5 linked regions of the Sus scrofa genome follow. The protein of the gene in region 1 interacts with the protein of each later gene in a biochemical or structural test. Links are inferred from orthologs where the notes say so. Each region holds a gene or a part of one and is shown on either strand. Other genes may lie near its edges.

Evidence for each region.
Region 2: the proteins of LEF1 (region 1) and SMAD3 form a complex in vitro, tested with the Homo sapiens proteins (2 studies listed by BioGRID, with this or other methods). The link is inferred for Sus scrofa from reciprocal best matches to the Homo sapiens genes LEF1 and SMAD3.
Region 3: the proteins of LEF1 (region 1) and MITF form a complex in vitro, tested with the Homo sapiens proteins (2 studies listed by BioGRID). The link is inferred for Sus scrofa from reciprocal best matches to the Homo sapiens genes LEF1 and MITF.
Region 4: of the proteins of LEF1 (region 1) and NLK, one has a biochemical effect on the other in vitro, tested with the Homo sapiens proteins (4 studies listed by BioGRID). The link is inferred for Sus scrofa from reciprocal best matches to the Homo sapiens genes LEF1 and NLK.
Region 5: the proteins of LEF1 (region 1) and transducin-like enhancer protein 1 form a complex in vitro, tested with the Homo sapiens proteins (2 studies listed by BioGRID and IntAct, with this or other methods). The link is inferred for Sus scrofa from reciprocal best matches to the Homo sapiens genes LEF1 and TLE1.

What each region holds. Positions count from the first base shown.
Region 1 is NC_010450.4:113,824,971-113,829,262, reverse strand, and holds the start of LEF1 (lymphoid enhancer-binding factor 1), read right to left. Parts: upstream 2,810-4,292; 5' UTR 2,748-2,809; coding exon 2,538-2,747; intron 1,833-2,537; exon of another isoform or gene 1,272-1,832; coding exon of another isoform or gene 1,263-1,271; intron 98-1,262; coding exon 31-97; intron 1-30. UniProt on the Homo sapiens protein: Transcription factor that binds DNA in a sequence-specific manner. Participates in the Wnt signaling pathway. Activates transcription of target genes in the presence of CTNNB1 and EP300.
Region 2 is NC_010443.5:164,996,974-165,001,263, forward strand, and holds the start of SMAD3 (mothers against decapentaplegic homolog 3), read left to right. Parts: upstream 1-1,483; 5' UTR 1,484-1,665; coding exon 1,666-1,871; intron 1,872-4,290. UniProt on the Homo sapiens protein: Receptor-regulated SMAD (R-SMAD) that is an intracellular signal transducer and transcriptional modulator activated by TGF-beta (transforming growth factor) and activin type 1 receptor kinases.
Region 3 is NC_010455.5:51,384,057-51,388,365, forward strand, and holds the start of MITF (microphthalmia-associated transcription factor), read left to right. Parts: upstream 1-1,501; 5' UTR 1,502-1,589; coding exon 1,590-1,622; intron 1,623-2,669; coding exon 2,670-2,897; intron 2,898-3,947; coding exon 3,948-4,031; intron 4,032-4,309. UniProt on the Homo sapiens protein: Transcription factor that acts as a master regulator of melanocyte survival and differentiation as well as melanosome biogenesis.
Region 4 is NC_010454.4:44,401,586-44,405,795, reverse strand, and holds the start of NLK (serine/threonine-protein kinase NLK), read right to left. Parts: upstream 2,807-4,210; 5' UTR 1,632-2,806; coding exon 1,174-1,631; intron 1-1,173. UniProt on the Homo sapiens protein: Serine/threonine-protein kinase that regulates a number of transcription factors with key roles in cell fate determination. Positive effector of the non-canonical Wnt signaling pathway, acting downstream of WNT5A, MAP3K7/TAK1 and HIPK2.
Region 5 is NC_010443.5:234,364,110-234,367,618, reverse strand, and holds part of transducin-like enhancer protein 1, read left to right. Parts: intron 1-643; coding exon 644-707; intron 708-819; coding exon 820-864; intron 865-3,509. UniProt on the Homo sapiens protein: Transcriptional corepressor that binds to a number of transcription factors. Inhibits NF-kappa-B-regulated gene expression. Inhibits the transcriptional activation mediated by FOXA2, and by CTNNB1 and TCF family members in Wnt signaling.

The sequences.
Region 1 (4,292 bases):
ATAACATTGGGAGTGGTATTACTGTCTTACCGTCATCAGGGTGTTCTCTGGCCTTGTCATGGTAGGACTCCTGAGAGCTCTGTGCTTGTCTGGCCACCTAACAGCATGAATCCCCACCCACAAAAGAAAGAAAATCACCTTAGAGTTTGTGACAAAAGTGCTATGTGTATCCACTGGTAACTCGAGGAGGAGGAGGATTAGGTGCAACTCAATCTACTTATTCTATTAATCTATGAGGATAGGCTAGGGCTGACTACTGAGAAATCTTTTTTTCAGCATACATTTTTGAGAATTATCTGCCCAGGACTGGAAAGCATAAAGAAAATAGTAACAAAAACAAATTTGGGAACAATTCATATACTATTCTGACTGCTATTTGCTAAAACACATCAAGGCTGCTTGGATGCCTAAATATGATAGGAATTTGAGTTAACGGGGTTGGTCGTTTTGATAGCTTCTTCACAACCACTGTTTACTTCAATCAGATCTGATTAAAGGAGGGCTGAAATATCACTTTGCAACTGAAAATGACATTTTAAATAAAAACAAGCCCACCACTCACAAAAGGGGGTTTTAGGCAACTGTCCCAAACTGGTTGCAGCAGGAGCTCCACCCCTTATAACCTACCATGGCTGGTTGAGTGCAAGCTTACAAGAGAAAAGTGAACTATTTTGTGGTTAAAGGGAGGAAAATTTGAGAGTAAGGCTACAGACACGTAAAAGGCAGCCCAGTTAATATCAGCTCTGTAACCACCATCCACCCAGCCTCAACCACGTGCAAATCAGTGGTATTACCCTTTCACCATTTTTCTTGGGTCTGCCCCATGCCCACTCACCACCAGCAAAGATGAACAGAGCCCTAGTACCTAGGGGTTCTGGGCTTCAAATGCAGTGCCCTTCTCCCCAATGCAGACACAGGTAGACGATGTGAAGCGGGTGGCGAATTTATTTATAGCAAAAGGACGTACAAACAAAATGAGTAGAAATTTTAAAAGGCCACTCTACAAATATGAGTTTGGCCTCGAGTGTTGTGGATGTTATTTGGTTCTTTAACACGTGTCCTCCTGGTAACCTCCCCCCAATGAACACACAATCACAAATCTTTTAAGCAGATTTGGGGGCATCCTCTCCGCTGCCACGGCCTCCCTCGCCCCCTCCCGCACAATTGGCACGTTGGGATGAAAGATTTAGGGGACAGAACATCCCTACATTCTCTTTAGAACCCAGGCTCCCAGGCCCCCGACTTCCAAAATGCGTACTCACCCCTGCCATTGGGATAAAGAAGGTAACTCAGAGGTGTTCTTAAACTTGCTGTTTAAAACCCAAAATGTCCCCGCCCCCAAAACCTCACACGCCTTCTTTTTGGGGGCAGAAGGATGCCATTTAAGGAAAAAGGATATACCCTCCGAATTTCTTTGGAGGGAAAAAGCGTTGGTGAAATCTTCTGAATGTCAGGACTTTTCTACCGGATTTCCTCCAAAGCGTTTCCCAGTTGTTGAACAAGGGTGGCCAGTGCAGTGTCGGGTATCAGGGTCCATCCGCTCTCCCGCTCCCCCACCCCCAAAGCTCTCAGCTCGGCCTGAAATAGCCCTTCCGCGAGGTCCAGCTCTCGGCTTTCTCTCGCCAGCACCCACGTGTCTCTATTTACTCTACTCGGGTTACCAACGCTATCGCCCGCAGCGGGCCAGAGATCTGATAACGTGCTTTCCACTCTCCCCTGAGTGGGTGCCCTGGCTTCCGCCGCATCTCGACTCTGGCTCGCCTTTCTTTTGCATAGATTTAAGGCCTGATCCGGGCCCAAACTAACCCCCAATATAAACTTTTTTTTTTTTTTTTTCAATTCTTTAAGTGGCTGTGGGTGGAGAAAACTAGCGTTGCGGACCTTACTGCGAGTGCCCCCGCCCTGGGGTGGTTCCGCTCGGCGCGCCCACGGCTCCCCACAGCCAGCCCCGGCACTGGGACTCGGGCGGCGGCAAGGACCGGGTCCCGCACCGCCCCCGCCGCGCGCCCCGCTGGGCGCGAGCCTGGCTCCGCGGCGGTTGGGATGGCCCCGCCTGTCCTCGGCCCACGCCCGCCTCCCCTTCCTTTCTGCCTGTGGCTCTGCTCGTTTCTACCTAAGCTTTTGGTGGTTTAACGCATTTTTGCAGAGACATCTATCGAGAGAGCGGGTGCACTTTGTTTTCCGTCCTACGGAAGAACTTCTCAGTAGTGCTGTTCAGACATCCTCGCTTTAATGCATCGCACATTCTCAACCCCACGAAAACGTCTGAAGGCGAAACGTTATGGGTTAAGGGCCGCAAACCAACAGTTTAGTCACAGAACCCCAAAACGGATCCATTTTGAATGTTTTCCTGCATCCCCCTCCACCTCACACACGCACAAACGAAGAACGTTGACCAAAGTAGCCCAGCCCCTCACCCCATCCCACCTCGGCCCCAGGAGACCTGCTGGGGACCCATCAGCTGGGGCTGTCCAGAGCCTTCCCTCCCTGCTCTTCCCCCGGACCCGCCACGCCGCTCTGGGCAGCGGCCCGCTCACCTCGTGTCCGTTGCTCGCCGGGATGATTTCGGACTCGTTAACCAAGGAGGACTTGATGTCGGCTAAGTCACCTTCCTCTTCAGGGTGACTGATCTCAGCGAAAATCTTCTCTTTCTGGGGATCGCCCTCGTCCTTGAAGGGGATCATCTCGTCCGTGGCGCAGAGTTCCGGGTCCCCCCCGCCGCCGCCTGCCCCGGAGAGTTGGGGCATCCCGACCACTCTGTAATCTCCGCTCCGCTGGGGGAGCACCCCAGGCGACAGCAGAAGAGAGAAAGGGTAAAGGAAAGGTGGGGGAGGAGAAGGAGAATTGGAAGGGTGTGTGAGGGACGACAGCAGGCGGAAGCCGGGCTGGCGAGCGCAGGGCTGGCGGCCGGCAGCCTGAGCAACTGCAGCGGCGTCCGCGTCCCGGCGGCCGTCCGCGTCTTCCCACTCGGCCGAGACCCACGCCGGCACCCGTCCGCGAGGCCGAAGGACACAGGGCTGCGAGGGCCGCCGCTGCCGGCGCCTCTGGGGGCGTCTGCGCCGTGCAGCGTGGCGCACGCTAGGCTAGACTGCCCGGGCGGCCACCCGACGCCCCCAGCGTCTCCCGGGTCGTAGGAGGTTCGAGTCTCCGAAGTGCAGAGGAGGGTCCGCCGGCGCGTCTCTACGCAAATCTCTCCACCTCAGCTCCCCCGGAGGCCGATCTGGGAGTTTGTTTCCCGGAAAAATAAGGGACTCGGGCAAAACGGCTCCGTTTGCCCCAGTAGAGACGGTGCAAGGAGAATCAGAAGATAATGAATGTCCACTTCCTGGAGAGCAAAAAAAAAAAAAAAAAAAAAAAAAAGCCACCAGGGTTGGAGATGTCCGTTTTAGAGCTTCTTGTTTCCTTCCCTTTCGCTTCGGTTTTCCTTCTCCAGGCGAATTTAATCTGCCGGAGGAGAAGGTGGGGGCGGAGGAGGAGGGGAAGAAAAGGAAAAGAAGTTTGCCAAGAATAAAGTTTGTGCGTGCAAGCTCAGGGAGTCGGCAGTGGAGGGCACGGCTGGGTCTCGGGGAGTCACAGCAGGGACCGCGGACCCAAAAGCTTCTGCCCGGAGCTGGAGCCGAAACACACACAGCCCGACCCCTCTTTGTTCCCGGCTCGAGTTTCTCAGTCTGGCTCGCTCGCTGGCTCGCTGCTCTCCACGCCTCCGCCCGGCCGCTTGTCAAAGCAAAGAGCTGCACCCCTCGGGTTCGCCCGGCCCGGGGGAGGGGGACGCCCAGAGCTTGGCGGCTTGCGGGGCTACGGGCGCGTCCTGGCTCTTCGGCCTGAGAGCGCGCAGCCTGATCCCTCCTCCGCGCCCGGCCCCGCAGGTGAGCGGCTGCGCCTCCCCACCGCTTCTCCTCCTCCCGCGCCTCGCCGGCGCTGAAAAGCTACCCACTTGCGTCGCTTCTCCTCCCCTTCCCCTCCCCCGCCTCCAGCTTTCCTTGGCTGCCCGCTGGGAGGGAGGAGGGGGACGGCGAGAAGGAGCTGGTGATTGAGGACTTTTTTCTTTTCCCAGAGCCTGTAGGACTAGTCCTAGTTTTGGGGTGTGTATGTCTGTGTGTGTGTGTGTGTGTGCGCGAGAGAGAGAGAGAGAGAGAGAGAGAGAGAGGGAGCGCGCGCGCGCGTGCGGAGAGCGCCTAGAAAGAAGATTCAGGCAACTTGGCGAAGGAAGGATCCCGCGCTTCTTGTGACCCAAGGAAGGCACGTTTTTGCCCGCGTGAAACTGACAAGAAACTGCGGGAATGGTTTATTAA
Region 2 (4,290 bases), on another chromosome or scaffold:
TAGGGGAGGGGCAGCAGGAGAAAGGCCCTGGGGTCCTGGGGTAACTCCTGAAAGCAGCTGCAGGAGGGGTCTGGGGGCAGATGCCCTTGAATTGTGCTTCTGGGGAGAGAAGCCCCAGAGGGCCCCCAATATCTTGGTATTTCTTTGCTTCCCACCAGAGCTAATTTGGAATACATAAGGTTCCCCGGTACTGCCCTCTTGCCCCACTTTTTTGCAAGTTCACAGCTTTGAAAACAAAGCTCTTGCCTTCTATTTATAGGGTGTTGAATTTCGGCTCTTTGCTCATCATAAGATTCCAAATACCCTGTAATGAAACTTTTCCTCCAAAGATAAATTCTGAAGCGCCCCGTCCTGAACTCAACGGATACCTTTGAGGCCCGTTTTCTGCTGGGCACTTGTTTCCCAAGGCCCCTGGGACCCCCTGGCTCCAGTTATTATACAGGGAGTCACTAGGGTCCCCGAATCTCCACTTCTGAGAGCGAGCCCCTTCCTAATCCCTCCTTCGCACGGTCTCGGGGCTCTAAACCGGTAAGATCTCACCGGTGCTAGAATTAAAGGAGCCCTAGAGTCACCGGCGCCACCAAGGTCCCTAACCGGGATTCGCGTGCCCGCATACCAGTGCGCTGCCAGCCTTCCTGGGCCTCAGCTTTGCGCACGCCCTCTCTCGGACCCGGGTCCTCCCAGGGATGCACGGCCAGCCTGCGGCCAGACGTCGTGCGTTCGTGCGAGCCTAACCCTCTCGGGCCCGCCACGCCAACTGAACTTTCTTAGTGTGGGTTCCGAGAGCGGACGCCACGGCCCGAGCCCGGCCCTCCCGTCCGGGGCCCCTCTCGCCGCTCCTTTCCCACGACTTCCTCCCGGCGCCCGCCGGATTCAGGTCAGGGCCGCGCGGGGTCTTGCGAGCTCCAGCCAGGTCCGCCGCAGCCCCCGGTCGCCCACGTGGGCGTGCTCCGCGCCGGGCGGGGGACGGCCCGGCGCCCTCCCGGAGGCGGGGGGCGGGCAGGGCGCCCGCGGGAGGAGGCGGCGGGGCGCGGGGGAGGAGGCGGGGAGCCCCGGCGGCAAGGGGGCGGTGACAGCGCTTGGAAAGGAGGCTGCACGCGGATTTGCATGAAACACAGACTGGGAGCGGGCGGGAGCGGGAGCGGGAGCGCGGCGCACGCCCCGGGCCGGCCCAGCGAGCGAGCGAGAGAGCCGGGAAGGAGGAGGGCAGCAGGGAGGCGAGGCTGCCGAGGCGGAGGGATCTGCGCATCAAAGCGAGCGAGGCGAGCAAAGTTTGGCTGAGGGTTGGACTTTCCTTCCTGGAGGCGGCACCCAAACAGCCACCCCGTGCGGAAACCCAAACTTTCTTCTGCCACTCGGAGCCCCGCGGCCGCCGCCTCCGCCCCGCGTCCGGGGCCTTCCCGATCCCGTGCCGCTGCCGCCCGCCCTTCTCCCCGCCGCTCTTCTCCTCACCGAGGGAGCCGCCCGGGGCACAGGGCCGCACGCCGAGCCCCGCAGGCTGCAGCGCCGCGGCCCGGCCGGGAGCACCGGCAAGTTCGCCGAGAGTTGAGGCGAAGTTTGGGCGGCCGCGGCCAGCCCGGCCGAGCTCCCCGCTGCGCCCCCGGCGTTCCGCCGCGCCCAGCCCCGCCGGGGGCGCCCCTCGCCGCCCGCGCGCCCTCCCCAGCCATGTCGTCCATCCTGCCCTTCACGCCCCCGATCGTGAAACGCCTGCTGGGCTGGAAGAAGGGTGAGCAGAACGGGCAGGAGGAGAAGTGGTGCGAGAAGGCGGTCAAGAGTTTGGTCAAGAAGCTCAAGAAGACGGGGCAGCTGGACGAACTGGAGAAGGCCATCACCACGCAGAACGTCAACACCAAGTGCATCACCATCCCCAGGTGGGGGCCCGAGGGACCCTGGGGCGCGCCCGCCCAGCCCCCTGGCGTGGCGGGGGGTTGGAACGGAGGGGTGGCCTGGGTGCCCGTGTGTGTGTAGGGGGGGGGCGGTGGGAACACAGACAGGAAAGCGGGGGACCCCAAACAAAACCTTCTCTGGATTTGCAGAGATTCAGAGCCTGAGGCTTCCACACGGCATTCGCGCTCCCAGACCTCGTATTCGCTTTTCACCTCCGGGAAAGCGGGTGCTGCTGGAATCGGCGGCCCCCACCCCGGGGGAGCTGCGGGCTAGAACTTGAGGCCCGCTTTGTTCAGCTCCGCGGGCCGGAGCCCCTCCTCCGCCGCCGCCTCCCGCCCCCGCGGCCCGCGCTCGTGGAGGTGGTGGTGTCTCTCCCTTTCTTTTCTTCATCCCTGTCCCCCCACTTCTTTCCTCCTCGGCAGGAATGCAGTCCGTACAGCTGGGGCTGTGGGTGAGGAGCGGGAGCCTCGTGATTGACAGATTCCTTCTTCGTTCTCTCTTTGCCTTCGGGATTAGCATTTTTATCGAGTATTTTTAGATTCGGTTGTGCCAGTCTCCCGCCCCCTCCGCACACACACGCACTTTACTTGCAGTGGGGTGGTCTGACTTTCAAATGAGAGAGATAAGTGGCAGAGGGTAGGGTCTTCTCCCCCGACTGTTTTTTGGCCCACCTTTCAGCCATAGATTGCGAGTGGCTGCAAAACGCGGGGGGCTGAGAACTGAGGAGATAACAAAACGCACCCCAAAGGGGGGCCTCGCCTCGGCCCTCGCATTCCTACAGAGCCTTCCTTCCCAAAGCGCTGTGCCATCTGTCTGGACCTCCTTTATCCTCCACTTTGCGCTAGCTAGGTCAGGCGGGAGCTCACAGATGGCTGATAGAAGGGGTCAGTGACTTCTCTCCACTCCCCAGGGCCTTCTTTTAGCTTCGCTGCGCCTGGCTGGGAATTGGGGTGTGGGGGCACCATAGTCTCCTGTCTTTCCCTCTCAGCCAGCCCCCTTTAGAAGTCCGATTCTGCTCCAAGGGAGTGTGTGTGTGTGTGTGTGTGTGTGTGTGTGTGTGTGTGTGAGAGAGAGAGAGAGAGAGAGAGAAAGTGTGTGTGTGGGGGGGCAGGGTGGGGTGGGGTGGGGGAGATGTCCTTTGGGTCCTGGGCTGCAGAGGATTGAGTGGAGGGTCCCCAGGGCCTGCACCCCACAGAAATTGCCATCCTTGCTGCTGGGGCCAGGAGTGAACTCCGTCCTTGGCCACCTGCTTGGGGCAGCTGTATAAAGGCTGCCAGCCGTGTCAGGCAGGCACAAAGCAACATCTGTCCACGGGAACCCAGGGCAGGCCTCCCCTGGAAATAAATGCTGCATATGGTGGGAGTGCTGACTTGAAAAATAATAATTTTTTTTTTCAAAACTGGGTGGATCCAGTCAATAAAGCGGGAGGGAAGGCAATGTGCTGTCTGGGAAGTGTGTTCTGGGCGTGTGATCAGGAGCCAGAATTGACTTCAGAGGAGGTGGTGTGATGTGATGGTCAGTGAGCCCTAGGTCCTGGTCCCAGCCCTGGTGCTTAATTCTTCTTTATTCCTTTGGATGAGGGTCAAGGAGTAGGGCGAACAGATGTCATACTTCTCCCGCCTGGGGAGGGGTTTGCAAAACCTGCCTTCTTACCTGTCTCGGTGCCTTGAGGGCAAGGGCTTTATGCCTTGAAACAGGAAAAAAAAAAAGTATCAATTATAAAATGAGCAGCTGTGTAAAGCGTTTTACAGTTTACCAAGGTCTTTCACGTGGTTTTATGAGAGCAAGAAAAAGAAACTCCTGGAAAATAGATAAGGCAATTAGGCCTAAGATTTATCTTGTTTTTAAAGTTGAGAAAACTTTGGAGGCGAGAGGTGAAAAAGCTTGGTGTAGTAACGGGATTCTGACCAAATGTGCTCCTTCTGCTAGGCCAGGCTGCTCTGCACTTTGAAGCTTTGGAATACATTCTTTGCTGACCGCTAAAGCTGTGTTAGCCAGAGGGATGGGCCCCTAGGATCTTTGTTGGTAACATTGCCAGTGTCGGCCTCTGGGCTAGTGACAGCCTGGAGGAGAGGCCTTGTTCTCCCTTGCCTTAGTAGGAGTTTGCCCTCTGGGGAAGCACAGCTGTGGTCTGTCTTTTCCTCTTTCAAAGTCCTCTGCAGCCCGAGGTATTGGACACTTCAGGTGTTTCTGAGAGTTCAGGTTAACTTGGCCTTCTCATGATTCTCTTAGGACTGGGCCGTCTTCTACCTGTCTGGCAAGGACCTAGTGCTGAGGCAGATTTTTTTTTTTTTCCATCTTTTTCAATTAGGGAAACCCAGTCGCTTGGGTGGATCCAGACAAAGTGGATTTCCATCCCTGGTTTTTGTGCCCACGCCGCTGGGTCACCTTGTCTCCCTTGGC
Region 3 (4,309 bases), on another chromosome or scaffold:
GTTCTGTCTTCTCTAGGTGTTTATAACCAATCTATCCTCAATTATTTAAAAAGGCACTGACAATAAAAGCTTACTCTGATAACCCCAACTTAGTTGTAGTAAAGACCTCACCGACAGTGCCAAATAGAGAATAAGTTGCTTCTTTCCTTGCTAAAGCCTGAAATTCTGATTCATTAAAGAATAAGGATCTGCCAGTGAATTAACATTTATTTTTAAATGTGCAGCCCTTTCTTTTTTAAGTGACATAGTGAAATAAGCACATTACACCCATTGCCCTCATTTGATGTTTATTTTAGTAATGTCTATTGTCCTCATCATTATCGTGTCTGGACCCTTTATGAAACTCACAATGTCTCTGTGAACCTCCGTGTGCATGTTAGATCAGTCATTTGAAACAATTTGAGATTGTCAACTAAAGGACTTCATTATCCCAGGCACTGGTATGGAATTATTGCATTTCAAATTCTTGTGCTTAAAATACCTCACCATTTCAGCAGTGAAAATCGGCCATTATTGTAATTTTGAGATATATGTATATTTGTTTGCCTTTTTCCTTCCTTTACCCTTTTCCCCCAGATTCTAAGTGTCATAACACTGGCAATCATATATACTTGTTCACAGTGTGTCTGTTGTGCCTTGTACAGTGTTTATTTAGCACATAATAACAGTAAATAATGGAAGGAATACATGAGTAGATATATGAATGCATCAGGTGTGTGTATATGATAAGTGTTATTCTTCTCTAGCCCCAAGAATTATATTAAAATACTTTTAAGTGAAATTTTTTTTATGCTTTCTAATTTGGGGGTTCAAATGAGAAGATGTGTATTTCTTATTTTCCACCTAAAAATCTATATCCAAAATAGCCTGTGTGTGTTTTTCCTCTGTGATTTAGAATTGCTTCTGCTCTTGCTCATACAAGGTCAGTAGGATGTTTGTACATATATCCAGCTGAGAATAAGATGCACATTGAGACCAGGATGCAGGATGAGGCTGTTGCACTTGAAAGTTCAACAGAGACTCCTCCATACTAAAAGATGCTCTTGCCGTAGTCAGAAGTGGCTGTGTTCTTGGGCCCTTAGAAAAGTCTCATGTGTAGCTTTTAGGCAGTGTTCTCCACAGGAGGGGGGGGCATTTAGCTCTTAACCTAAGGCTGAAAGAGCAATAGCATTGTCTATTAATACTACTGGAACTAAAGATGAATAGTGAATTGGCCTTGATCTGACAGTGAGTTTGACTTTGATAGTTCATCACTTAAAAAGGTTCTTTTATATTTATGAAAAAAAGCATGACGTCAGACTGGGTGGGGTTGAGAGGGGGTTGATACCAATATTTAAGAGCAAACTCTAGGGCTTCCAAAAAAAAAAAAAAAAACCCTCTTGTGTGAACTTTTTTTTTTTTTTACGTGCATAACTAATTAGCTTAGGTTATTATAAGCAGAGCTGCTGTGATAAAGTTTCCGGTGGTGTCTCGGGATCCCTTGTTTATAGTGCCTTCTCTATGCCAGTCTACAAATCGGAATTGCAAAAAGTAGAGGGAGTGAATAGTCCACCATTTCTCATTGGATTGGGGCCGCCTAAAGCGTGGTTATGCTGGAAATGCTAGAATATAATCACTATCAGGTGAGCTTTGTTCTTATTCATATTCGGTCTCTGAAATGTAATCATTAAACTGAATGTTTCACCTTTTCATTGTTGCTTTTGTAGACCCACAGTTGTCAGTAAGTACGTGTCTCCAGTTTAATGCTGTTTATTGTTTGGTACCATAAGCAGTAAGTCAATGTAGTTTTGAACAAAGTAAATATTAGTTGGATTCCCTCCCCCCACCCCCCGGCCCCCAGTACATGGCTTTGCTCTCTCCATCAGCTCCTTCCTGTTCATAGCTCATCAGATTAAATTGTGTTTATCAAGGCAAAAGTGACTTTAAATTGAGTGTCATTGATTTTTTTTAAAAAAGCTTCTTATTCTGCATTAATATTTGTAAAGAAGAAGGGAAAATGATCCTGGTAGCTCAATACTCATGCTTTCAAAAACACATGCATAGAATGTTTGAAAGAAACTACTTAACGTGGAATTGCTTTTTATGTTGAGTTTAAGATCTTAATTAAAATATTAACTAATCATGTCCAAGTGAAAGTGGGAAGAATTAATCCACAGCTATTTGATTTAATCATTGGAATGTTTCTGTTTCTGTTCTTCAACAACTTTACAGTTGTTTCTTAAGGAGGTTTTCTTTTCTTTCTTTCTTTTAAACAGAAAGCTGTTTTGTTTGCCAAAGAATAGTGAAATAAATCAAGTTATGCTCCTTCTTTTAAATTATTGTTTTGGTCTTAATAAGCCCTCTTAGGTGTGTTGGGGGAAATTTTTGCCCTCTACATAGTTGCAAATGTTGAGTTATTAGATCTGAGAAGAAGGCACAAGGTTTTAAAGAGATGGACTGCTAATTAACAGGGAAATGAAACAGGGCAAAGTATTACCCCAAATCCTGAGAGTTAGCCTTTAAACTTCAGTAATATCAAAATCCATTAGCCCAGTGCCTGGTACCTAACAGGGGCTTAAAAATCTCTTCTGTTGGTGGACCTGCCCGTCTCATGTTTGTGCCTGAAAGAAGAGCTGTCCGAAACTCACCAATAACAGCGCTCTCTTCTCTTCCTCCGTGGCTATGTTCAGGTGCAGACCCACCTCGAAAACCCCACCAAGTACCACATACAGCAAGCCCAAAGGCAGCAGGTAAAGCAGTACCTTTCTACCACTTTAGCAAATAAACATGCCAACCAAGTCCTGAGCTTGCCATGTCCAAACCAGCCTGGCGACCATGTCATGCCACCGGTGCCGGGGAGCAGCGCACCCAACAGCCCCATGGCTATGCTTACACTTAACTCCAACTGTGAAAAAGAGGTAATTCATGTCTCCTCCCCTCTCCTCCTTCTTCCACTAAATGACTGTCTGTTGGATCTTCCTTCCGCACTTGACTGTGGACTCTAATCTGTCCGTGCGGCCCGCTTCACCGGCCCTTGTCTCTGATTCCCCATGCCAGCTGTCACCCTCCAGCCTCTTCTCCCCGTCACCGTCACCGGGTTACTGGGTTCTAGCTCCTGGCGGAAGACCTGGCCCCCTCGGAGCGGAAGGTGGAGGCGAGGACACTTTTTCTCCCACCCCGTTTCCGCTTCCTTAGCTGAGTGTTCTCTTCCATGCCTTTCCGTTGACAAAGCAGTGAAAATGCAGGGAGAGAAGGGAAGGTGGAAAAGGGGCAGCAAAAATAGAAAAGGTGTTGGACAGGCGGTTTAGAAGTTCCGCTTGTTGTAAATGTCTGGAATATTATTTTTATTTCTCCCAGATTTGGGAAGGGGAAAAAAAAAAAAAGCCCAGAATGTGCGTGGCTGGATTGGAAGACTAGAGCACATGAGAATTTAACAAAAAGGCCGAGGTTTCCTTGCTGGGTGAATTTGGTTTCCTAATAAAATTGCCGCTGCTGGTGAAATCTGCTTGTGCAAAGGCTGGATTGGAGACAAGACTCAAACATACCTCAGGCTAATAGTTCCATCAAAATTTGAAGCATCCAAATCCAGAGGAGAGTTTTGAGTTAATGGCTCTTATTTCCAAATTCTGAGACAATGAGCTTCATTTTTATGGAGTTTGTCCTCTGAAATATTTATGTGATTTCAGAGGTGACTCATCTGAAGTTTGATTGATTTTAATTTCTAGAGGGACTAAATCTTTTCCCTTTTGCCCAAACCAACCATCTGTTTCTTCTCTGTCCATGTTTGTCATCTCTCAAGCTGATTTGATGCAAGTTCTTCCTTCCTTATTTCCTTTCTCGGTCAGATTCCACCTTATTGGGAAGCTTAGTTCATCTTGTTGCTGCACCATCAGCCTCCTGTGAACATGTCCTGGAAAAAGTCACTTGCAAATCCAAGTCATGGGCTGTTTTTGCTTGTGTTTTTGCAGGGATTTTATAAGTTTGAAGAACAAAACAGGGCGGAGAGCGAATGCCCAAGTATGAACACGCATTCACGAGCGTCGTGCATGCAGGTATTGAATGACTCGACAGCCCAAGGATGTGACACTTTGTAATGAGGATCTATATTAGTGGCTAATCACACCTTCCTGATGACTTCAGGGCTTTTTTTTTTCCCTCACTGACTTTTTTTTTTTTAATTGAGAAAGCTCTGAGCAGGGTTATTTTCTTCATTATGTCTCATGATGAAAAAATTACCAGGGAAATGATCCAACATTTTTTCCTAAGTTGATTTCTGTTATTAAACAGTGCTTAAAATACACAAATTTTCATAAATAAAATGTAAACTGTT
Region 4 (4,210 bases), on another chromosome or scaffold:
CAATACAAAAATGAAACTCATATCAATTACAGCCTGAAAATCAATGATGAAAGGAGACATTTACCAGGCTAATTCCAAAGAGTTCATTTTCCTGTGCTGATGGAGGCTTCTTCTAGACATTAACAAGAATCTTTTTTTTTTTTTTTTTTTGAGGTATAGTTGAAGGATCTATTTTTGAAGCACTGAAAACATTATCTATCCACACCAGAATACTTTCATCCTTGGGCGGGGGGGGAATCCCTTTCACTCTAGTTATGAAAGGAACAGGAATTGTAGACAATGATAAATACCTTTTATTATCAACTATTAACCTTTCTAAGAAGGACGAATAGATGAAATGTTGCATTTAAGAAGCCCTAGGACTTTTTAAAATATCCTAGAACTAGCAAAAGTAGAGCAGTTTCATGTTTAAAAAGTGTACTTCCTACTACAGCAACCACCCAAGGGATAACAGTAACTTACAAGCCACTAAATGACACTAAAACATTACACTGAATGTGGGCCACTGCATAGTTACAGTCTACTGACCTCGATCGTGGTACGCATGTGTGATGCTATATTTAATGCATTCTTATCAAAAGGCTAAAGCTACATACTTCCCAACTGTAGCTTTATGGTTTAAAATAAACCACTCATGTAACCTGATCTTCCTTCTGACCATCAAGATCACAAATTAAGGAATGAAAAGATAGAAAGAATAGCAAAATGGTTATGCAAAGTATATCCCAATGACAAGGCTATCATAAGGAACTGAGTTTGGGTCGGTTGTGGTATTTGTTGCAATCGATTCAAACTGAGTCAAACATGAGAGATGGCCAAGCAAGATTTGTGTAGGCATAAGCATTCCATGCATTCATCTATTTATTGATCCTCCATTCCGTGGCTTGCTTAGGTTCTACACAATAAGTTTGGTAGACAACAAACTTATGTGTGTTACTCAACAGAGGGTGCTCCACCAAAGTTGGCCACGACTCAAAGGCCTAAGCCTACACAGCCAATGCATTAGGCCTCTTTACCAGGTGTGGAAGGGTGGCTTCCTACAGCTGAGCTGCGGAACAACCCAAGAAGCTTGTTCTACTTGGGTCAACACCGAGAAGAAAACCAGGAGAAAGGCCTTGCCCAACGACAGCTGGGAGAAGAAACCCGAAGTTGCGGTTTTCTTGGGATACTCACCAGACGACACCAAAGGCTCCATATCCAATAGGTCTATCCGGCTCAATATCCAGCTGCTGTTGTGGATGATGCGAGTGCTGATGATGGTGCGCCTTAACTGTGGCAGCTGCGGCAGCCTGTACCTGAGCTGGGGCTGCTGCAGCTGGTCCAGGAGCCTGACCCGGTGCCGGTGATGGGAAATATGGCTGTTGTTGCCCAGGGTTTAACATGGCTGCAGCTGCGGCCGCTGCTGCGGCTGCCGCAGCTGCCGACGAGGTATGCTGCTGTACGGGGTGGACAGCAGCAGCCGACCCGGGATGAAGATGGTGCTGAGGGTGGTGGTGGTGGTGAAGGTGAGGAGGAGGGAGGTGTGGAAGGTGGTGGTGATGGTGGTGGTGGTGCCCTGCTGCTGCCGCAGATGTACCGCCATTGTAAGCCGCCATCATTTTTGCGTTGGCTCTTGCGCCACAAAGAGACATTCAAAAAAAAAATGCCCTTTGATTGGAAAGCAAACTGGGTCAAGCTGTCATTTGGCCATTTAAAAATGAAGAAAAGAACCCACTCACTCCACCTCCAAAAACATGGAGCGGAACTGGCTTTATGTCTTCATCAGTCAATCCAGACAAGTGAGCGGATCGTGGTGTTCAATTTGGGGGTGAGAGTGTGTGGAAGAGTGTGGGTTGCCCCCAAAAAAAATAAAAAAGAAAAAAGAAAAAGAAAAGAAAAAGGGAAAAGGGACCCCTTCCCCCCAGGTTTCCTGCCACAAGTGGGTACTAAAACTCCATCCTTAACTCGGGGGAGGTTCCAACTTTGACTGTGGGAATAAAGGCCAAACCTCCCGACCCCCCGAACTCCACACACGAAAAGGATCAGGTAACACACCACCCTTGGAATCCTGTAAGAGGCTTGACTCATCTACCCCTTCCATTCCCACATCCTTTTCTAAACACCTACCACCTCCTCAAAAATGCAACTGAAAAAAATTCCAACCACCCCAAAGTGAAAGGATGGGGGGAAATGTTCAGGGAAACCAGCTTTCCCCCTCGAACTCTCAGGCCTTCCTACATCTCCCCCTACTCCTCGTCAGGCTGACCTGACTGGAGGGGAGGGGGGGGGCTACTAAACTTTCCCGAACAGAAAAGAGCCAGGGAAGGAGGCAGGAGGGACCGAGTGAGCAGAGGAGGCGACAGGGCAGGACTGAGAGGAGAAAGAGAACCGGGGCAAAGTGAAGGTAAGGAGGTGCGGGGAGGAATGAAAGAGAGGTGGGCAGCACTCGGACGCCCAGACAGAGGGAACCGCCCCGGGAGGAGGTTGGGGTCCTGGGGCCAAAGAATGGGAGCCCCGGGAGGCGGGCGGGGTGCAGTCGGAAGCGGGCTGACTCCTGCCCCCGCCGCCGGCTGCTTCTGCTGAGGAGGGTTGGGGGGGAGAGCGGGTGGGTCCCCCCGCGCGACGGCCCCCGTAGGGCTCAAGGCTGCTCCGTCTCCCCCCCTCCCCCCCACCCGGCTTCGGTCCCGCGGCCGCTTTCTCCTTAGCCGCCACCGCCGCTTTCTCCTCTGCCGCCGCCTCCTCAGCCGCTGGTGCCGCCGCGGCCGGACTCACCTCCCCTAGCAAAGCCGGATAGAGCGGAGCCAGCGGCGGACACGCGCAACCAGCCGCCGAGGCCCCGCCCCCGCCTCACACTGACCGGCTGCCCTAGCCAATCCACGCCCACCTGTCCGCATCCGCCTCCAATCCTGGGCCGGGAGATTCAGACAGGCGCACTGCTCGGCCAGTGGCGACAAGGTGTGGGTCTCCTGGGGAAATCCCGCCCCGACCTGGGATGGGCAGATCGAAAGACCAATCAAAAGGAAGAGTTTAGCCTGACCGACAAGGCCAAAAGCGAATTAAACACCAAAGATCTCCGTGACATTTTCTTTCGCCTCTCTCCTCTTTTCTTTTTCTTCTTTTATTTTTTTGGCAGGAGCAGGAAGCTGCGTGCTAATCCCGCCTGCCAAAGCTGATGGAATGAAAGAACCAATCGTGAACCGGGGACCAAGAACAGAGCAACCAATCCTTGGCTTGGAGAGGAAGTGGGTTGAGACTGGGGCCAGATAGACACTTGATATGACAAATGAAAAAAAAAATTGCTCTCGGTCCCACCCTTCAGGTCTCCTATAGGTCAGGATTGTGGAGAATTCGCTGTCATATCAGCGACGACCTCCTCAGGGGGCGTGGCAAGATGAAAATGGGTGTGGTCTAAAGAAAGGGGCGGGACCTAGTCGAAGAAGGCGGAGTCCAAATCGTCTCTGGTCCATTGATAGCAGCCCTCTACTATCCCTTTTAAAGAAATCAGGTGTGGAGAAATAGGGGGAGCAAAAGGGGATGTCGAGCTTGTTAGGAAACTCAACCAAAGTTACTCAACAAGACAGGCACAAAAGAAATTCAGTAGACTGACAGTTCATATCCAGTAGCTGGTTCTCCATGTCTCATCCTCATAGCGGCAAAAAGACATGTTATTTCTAGTTTTCAGGAATATACGCTCATTGAACTATAGGCTATTGATACAAATTAAAACAAAAATGATTACCCACAAAGACTAATTTCTCCCATATTTTCTAAGTCAATGAGTTCTAGCTATTGAAATCTTAACTAAAATAACATCTTTCACTTTCACAAAATTTACTTACCTGAATTTACCTTTCTTTAAAAATATGAAATAATACGCATACAGAATCTTACCCTTACTAAAACTGTGCACTCAGAACCCCGGAGATTGTCTTTGATTTTTTTTTTTTTTTTTTTTTTTTTTTGTCTTTTGCCATTTCTTGGGCCGCTCTTGTGGCATATGGAGGTTCCCAGGCTAGGGGTCTAATCGGAGCCGTAGCTACCGGCCTACACCAGAGCCACAGCAACGCGGGATGGGAGCTGTGTCTGCAACCTTACACCACAGCTCAAGGCAACACCAGATCCTTAATCCACTGAGCAAGGCCAGGGATTGAACCCACAGCCTCATGGTTCCTAGTCGGGTTCGTTAACCACTGAACCATGACGGGAACTCCCTCTTTTCTTTTTTCTAAAT
Region 5 (3,509 bases), on another chromosome or scaffold:
GGGCTTTCTGATTATTGACATTTTGTCTACTTGAAGATAATAATCTCTAGAGCTTGACGCATACCTGCCCACACCATGTTTATCAGGTAGGGAGGACTTCATCCCACTTAATTGCGTAGTTACGTGGCCTATTTGGTCAGGGAGTTAAAAACAAAGGTTTTAAAAGGAAACAACAATTGTAGAAGTAACTTTGCAGGTACAGTTTTCAAACTTTGAGACTTTTTGAGTTGGCACAGATAGTACAGCCTGTGCCTTCAACTGGAGGTTGTACAAAGGCTAGGTTTTGGTGGAATCCAGGGCAGCAAACTTTGATTCCGGGAAGGAAATAGGAGTGAACTGATGACCACGAGGAGAAATCAGTCTTCTGTGTAGATCTGAGGTTTTGACAGATTTTTTTCATTCTTGGCGTCAGACCAGGTCTGCACCTAGAAGAAAAAGAATAGTTGCTTAGTGGATACCCTGAACTGTTTACTGGATTCATTTTCCCTATTAAATGCAAGGACAAAGCTTTTGGGTGTTTACCTAGATAGTTTATGGCTTTTCCAAATTGGTCTGTGTTTTTACTTGAAGTGCAAATATGTGAGGCAGATGTTAAAACAAGTGACATAATGTTTACATTAAGTTGCCTGTTTTGTTTTTGTAGCCTTAAATTGGAATGTGAGAAACTGGCAAGTGAAAAGACAGAAATGCAGAGGCACTACGTGATGGTAGGTATCAAAAATTAAGCTTTTTCCTTTGCATGTAATATTAACAAATATGTGTTCTGAGCATTGCAAAACACGAGTTAATGAAATGCTTGGTTCTTTTTCCTTTTTACAGTATTATGAAATGTCATATGGATTAAACATAGAAATGCATAAACAGGTAAGCTTTAGTTAAATCTCAAGTTGAAATGATAAATAAGTCATGATTTTATAGTACTGGCTTTGACTTCAGCAGTGGGGGGATTTGTATGCCGCTATTCAGCCTTGGTTTCCCTTCCTGCGAATTGGTGGTGGTATTCTGCAGCAGGAGTTGCTTCTTAATAGTTGTAGAATGTTTAAGTTACTAGATGAGAGGTGCTTTGGAAGTGTAAACTAGCCTGTTTATAGGCACATAGGAATTGAGGCTCTGCTTGACTTTTCTGTGTGGATACACTGTTCTCTTGAAAGATTTCGGTATCCTGTAGAGTTCTGAAGTTCAGAATAACTAATGTTTTTGTGCTGATTTGGAAAGAAGTGTAGACCTGTAGGGGAAAGAAAGGTCTTCCGGAGTTTCTTTATTCAGGTTATGCAGGTAAATGATTTACCTGGGGGTTCTCTCTATGCTTTGGGGCTACAAAAAGCGACACTCAGGATTAGTGGCTTATTAGCAAACATCATTTTGAAAAATGTCTCAGTTGATACAGGTTTAGAGGGGAAAAAAGCATCCTTTTATGACCACAGCATATGTTGGGAGTCTCTCCAGTCCTGGTGGTTTTAAAAGCATGAAAAGATTAGTGACTGGAAAGCTCGAGCTATGACTATGAGTTTGCAAGTTCCCATAAAATTCACACTTATGGCTACTATAATGGTGTATAAAAAGAGTATTGAGCTGGAACAAGGCACTAAGGACCTCATAAGAGAAGAAAAGCTAAATGATTGCTCAGCCCAAAGGACCCTCGATTGAGTAGTCATTGTCTGCCAAAGAAAGCATTAATGGCAGGGTGTAAGTATTCTGGAGATATGCTGACATTCACTTTTTCATCAAGACTCCGGTACAATAAGTCTTTTAGAAATCGATTGCCTCTTAAAAAATTATCATCAGATGAAGTTGCACAGTTGGACACATTTCAAAGTGCAACAATACAATTCTTACTTGATGTATATGTGCTATTTCATCTCAAACCCTTGTTTCATTAAATTAAAGAGCATGGCTGACCGGCTGGGGCACAGTGGAGAAATTGATTAGTTCAGCCTTCAGATCTTCCTCATATTCAAAGACTTTCATTAAGCAAGTGTGTTTCAGAGTTGAATTCTGCTTTTGTAACTCTGGGCTCTTTGATTTTTAATTCATCATAGATTTTGTAATGTTATCGTGTACATTAGATCTGTTCTCAGATATATGTTTGGAAGAAGATAGTTATGTTCGGGACCTTTCATTAACGGTATAATTGGGTCTTTAAAAGTGCTGATTTTATTCTGATTTGCAAAGTTGGTAGCCTAGTTTATGTTGGGTTTGTGCTTTTGTTTCTGAGAGCTTAAAGGGCTAGTGCCTGATTGAGGCAATTGTAACTTGTTGATAGTAATTGAGCTAGAAGATCTGTGGTCATTTAAAAGAATTATGCAAATAAAATTGGTTGAAGAGTTCTGACCTGCCACTTCTTAAAAAGTTACCCTAAAGGCACTTATTTTTCTTTTTTTGCTAACACATATTCTGGAAGCATAAGAGGAGATTGAGTTTTCTCTTACACTCACAAGCTCAAAGGGTTTAATAACCTCACGACGCCATACAAGGGAGCCCCACCTCTGTGATGTTGTGGGCTGGTGCTGGATTTATTGGGGTAACTACGGAGAGGTGTGAAATTCTTCTGGGTTCCTGTAGGTTACTTGGTGGAGTGACCTCTTCTTTATCGCACAGGAAGAAGGAAGAAGGGGTGAGGAGGGTCAGGAACCCCATGGTGTGAAAATAGTTTTCTAATGAGTTTCTGTACTCCACTGGGCATTTGTGGGTATATATTGTCTGTCCATGAGCCACTGTGCATTAATAATATGCTGTGTATAATTGGCTCAGTAATTTGAAAAATGTGAAAAGCTGAGAGACGTAGGGTTCTTCGTAGTAGAATATTAAGCCCCCTGAAATTTAGTTTATATTGTAAATGCTGACAGACCCTTAACTAGAGTGGTGTGCAGAGCGGTGCTGTAATTCAGTTTAAAGTGGCCTTACATTTGAAAAACATCCTTCTGAATGTCACACATTAATAATAAGTTCTGAGGAGGCATTTGGTGCAGCTAGTAATCATAATTCTTATTAAAACTGGTGACGTCTGGCCCCCAGGGTGTAGCCAGGCTCAAATTGATGCTTTTTGCCGCCTGATCACCAGCATGGCCTAAGTGCTCATTATATTGTAGAGAGGGCCTTTGCAGCTCTCATTAGATTTGACAGGAATTCTCTCTAGGGGGAAACTGGGCATTAGTGAGACTCCTGACAGGCTGAAATTAGTCCTGCTTTATGGCTTATAACCAAATGCTAGCAAGGCATCATCAGGGGACACAAAAAATTGTCATTTCTGACAACATCTTTGTTACTGCAAAAAAAAAAAAAAAAAAAAAAAAAAGCAGTGATGGGGAAACTTTAATGTTGTTAAGATTTGTCTCTAATGTGACGACCCGCTCTACTCCCCACCTTTCAGCGGCTTTGTCGGAGTGAGTTTGAGAGATTTCAGTGTCAAATCTCACCACTGACTTTTCCGGCTGGAAGTTTTAAAGTGGAAGTGCGTCCACATCAAGAATGGTATAATTGTGGTTTCCTTACTTGGTTTGGTGCCCACA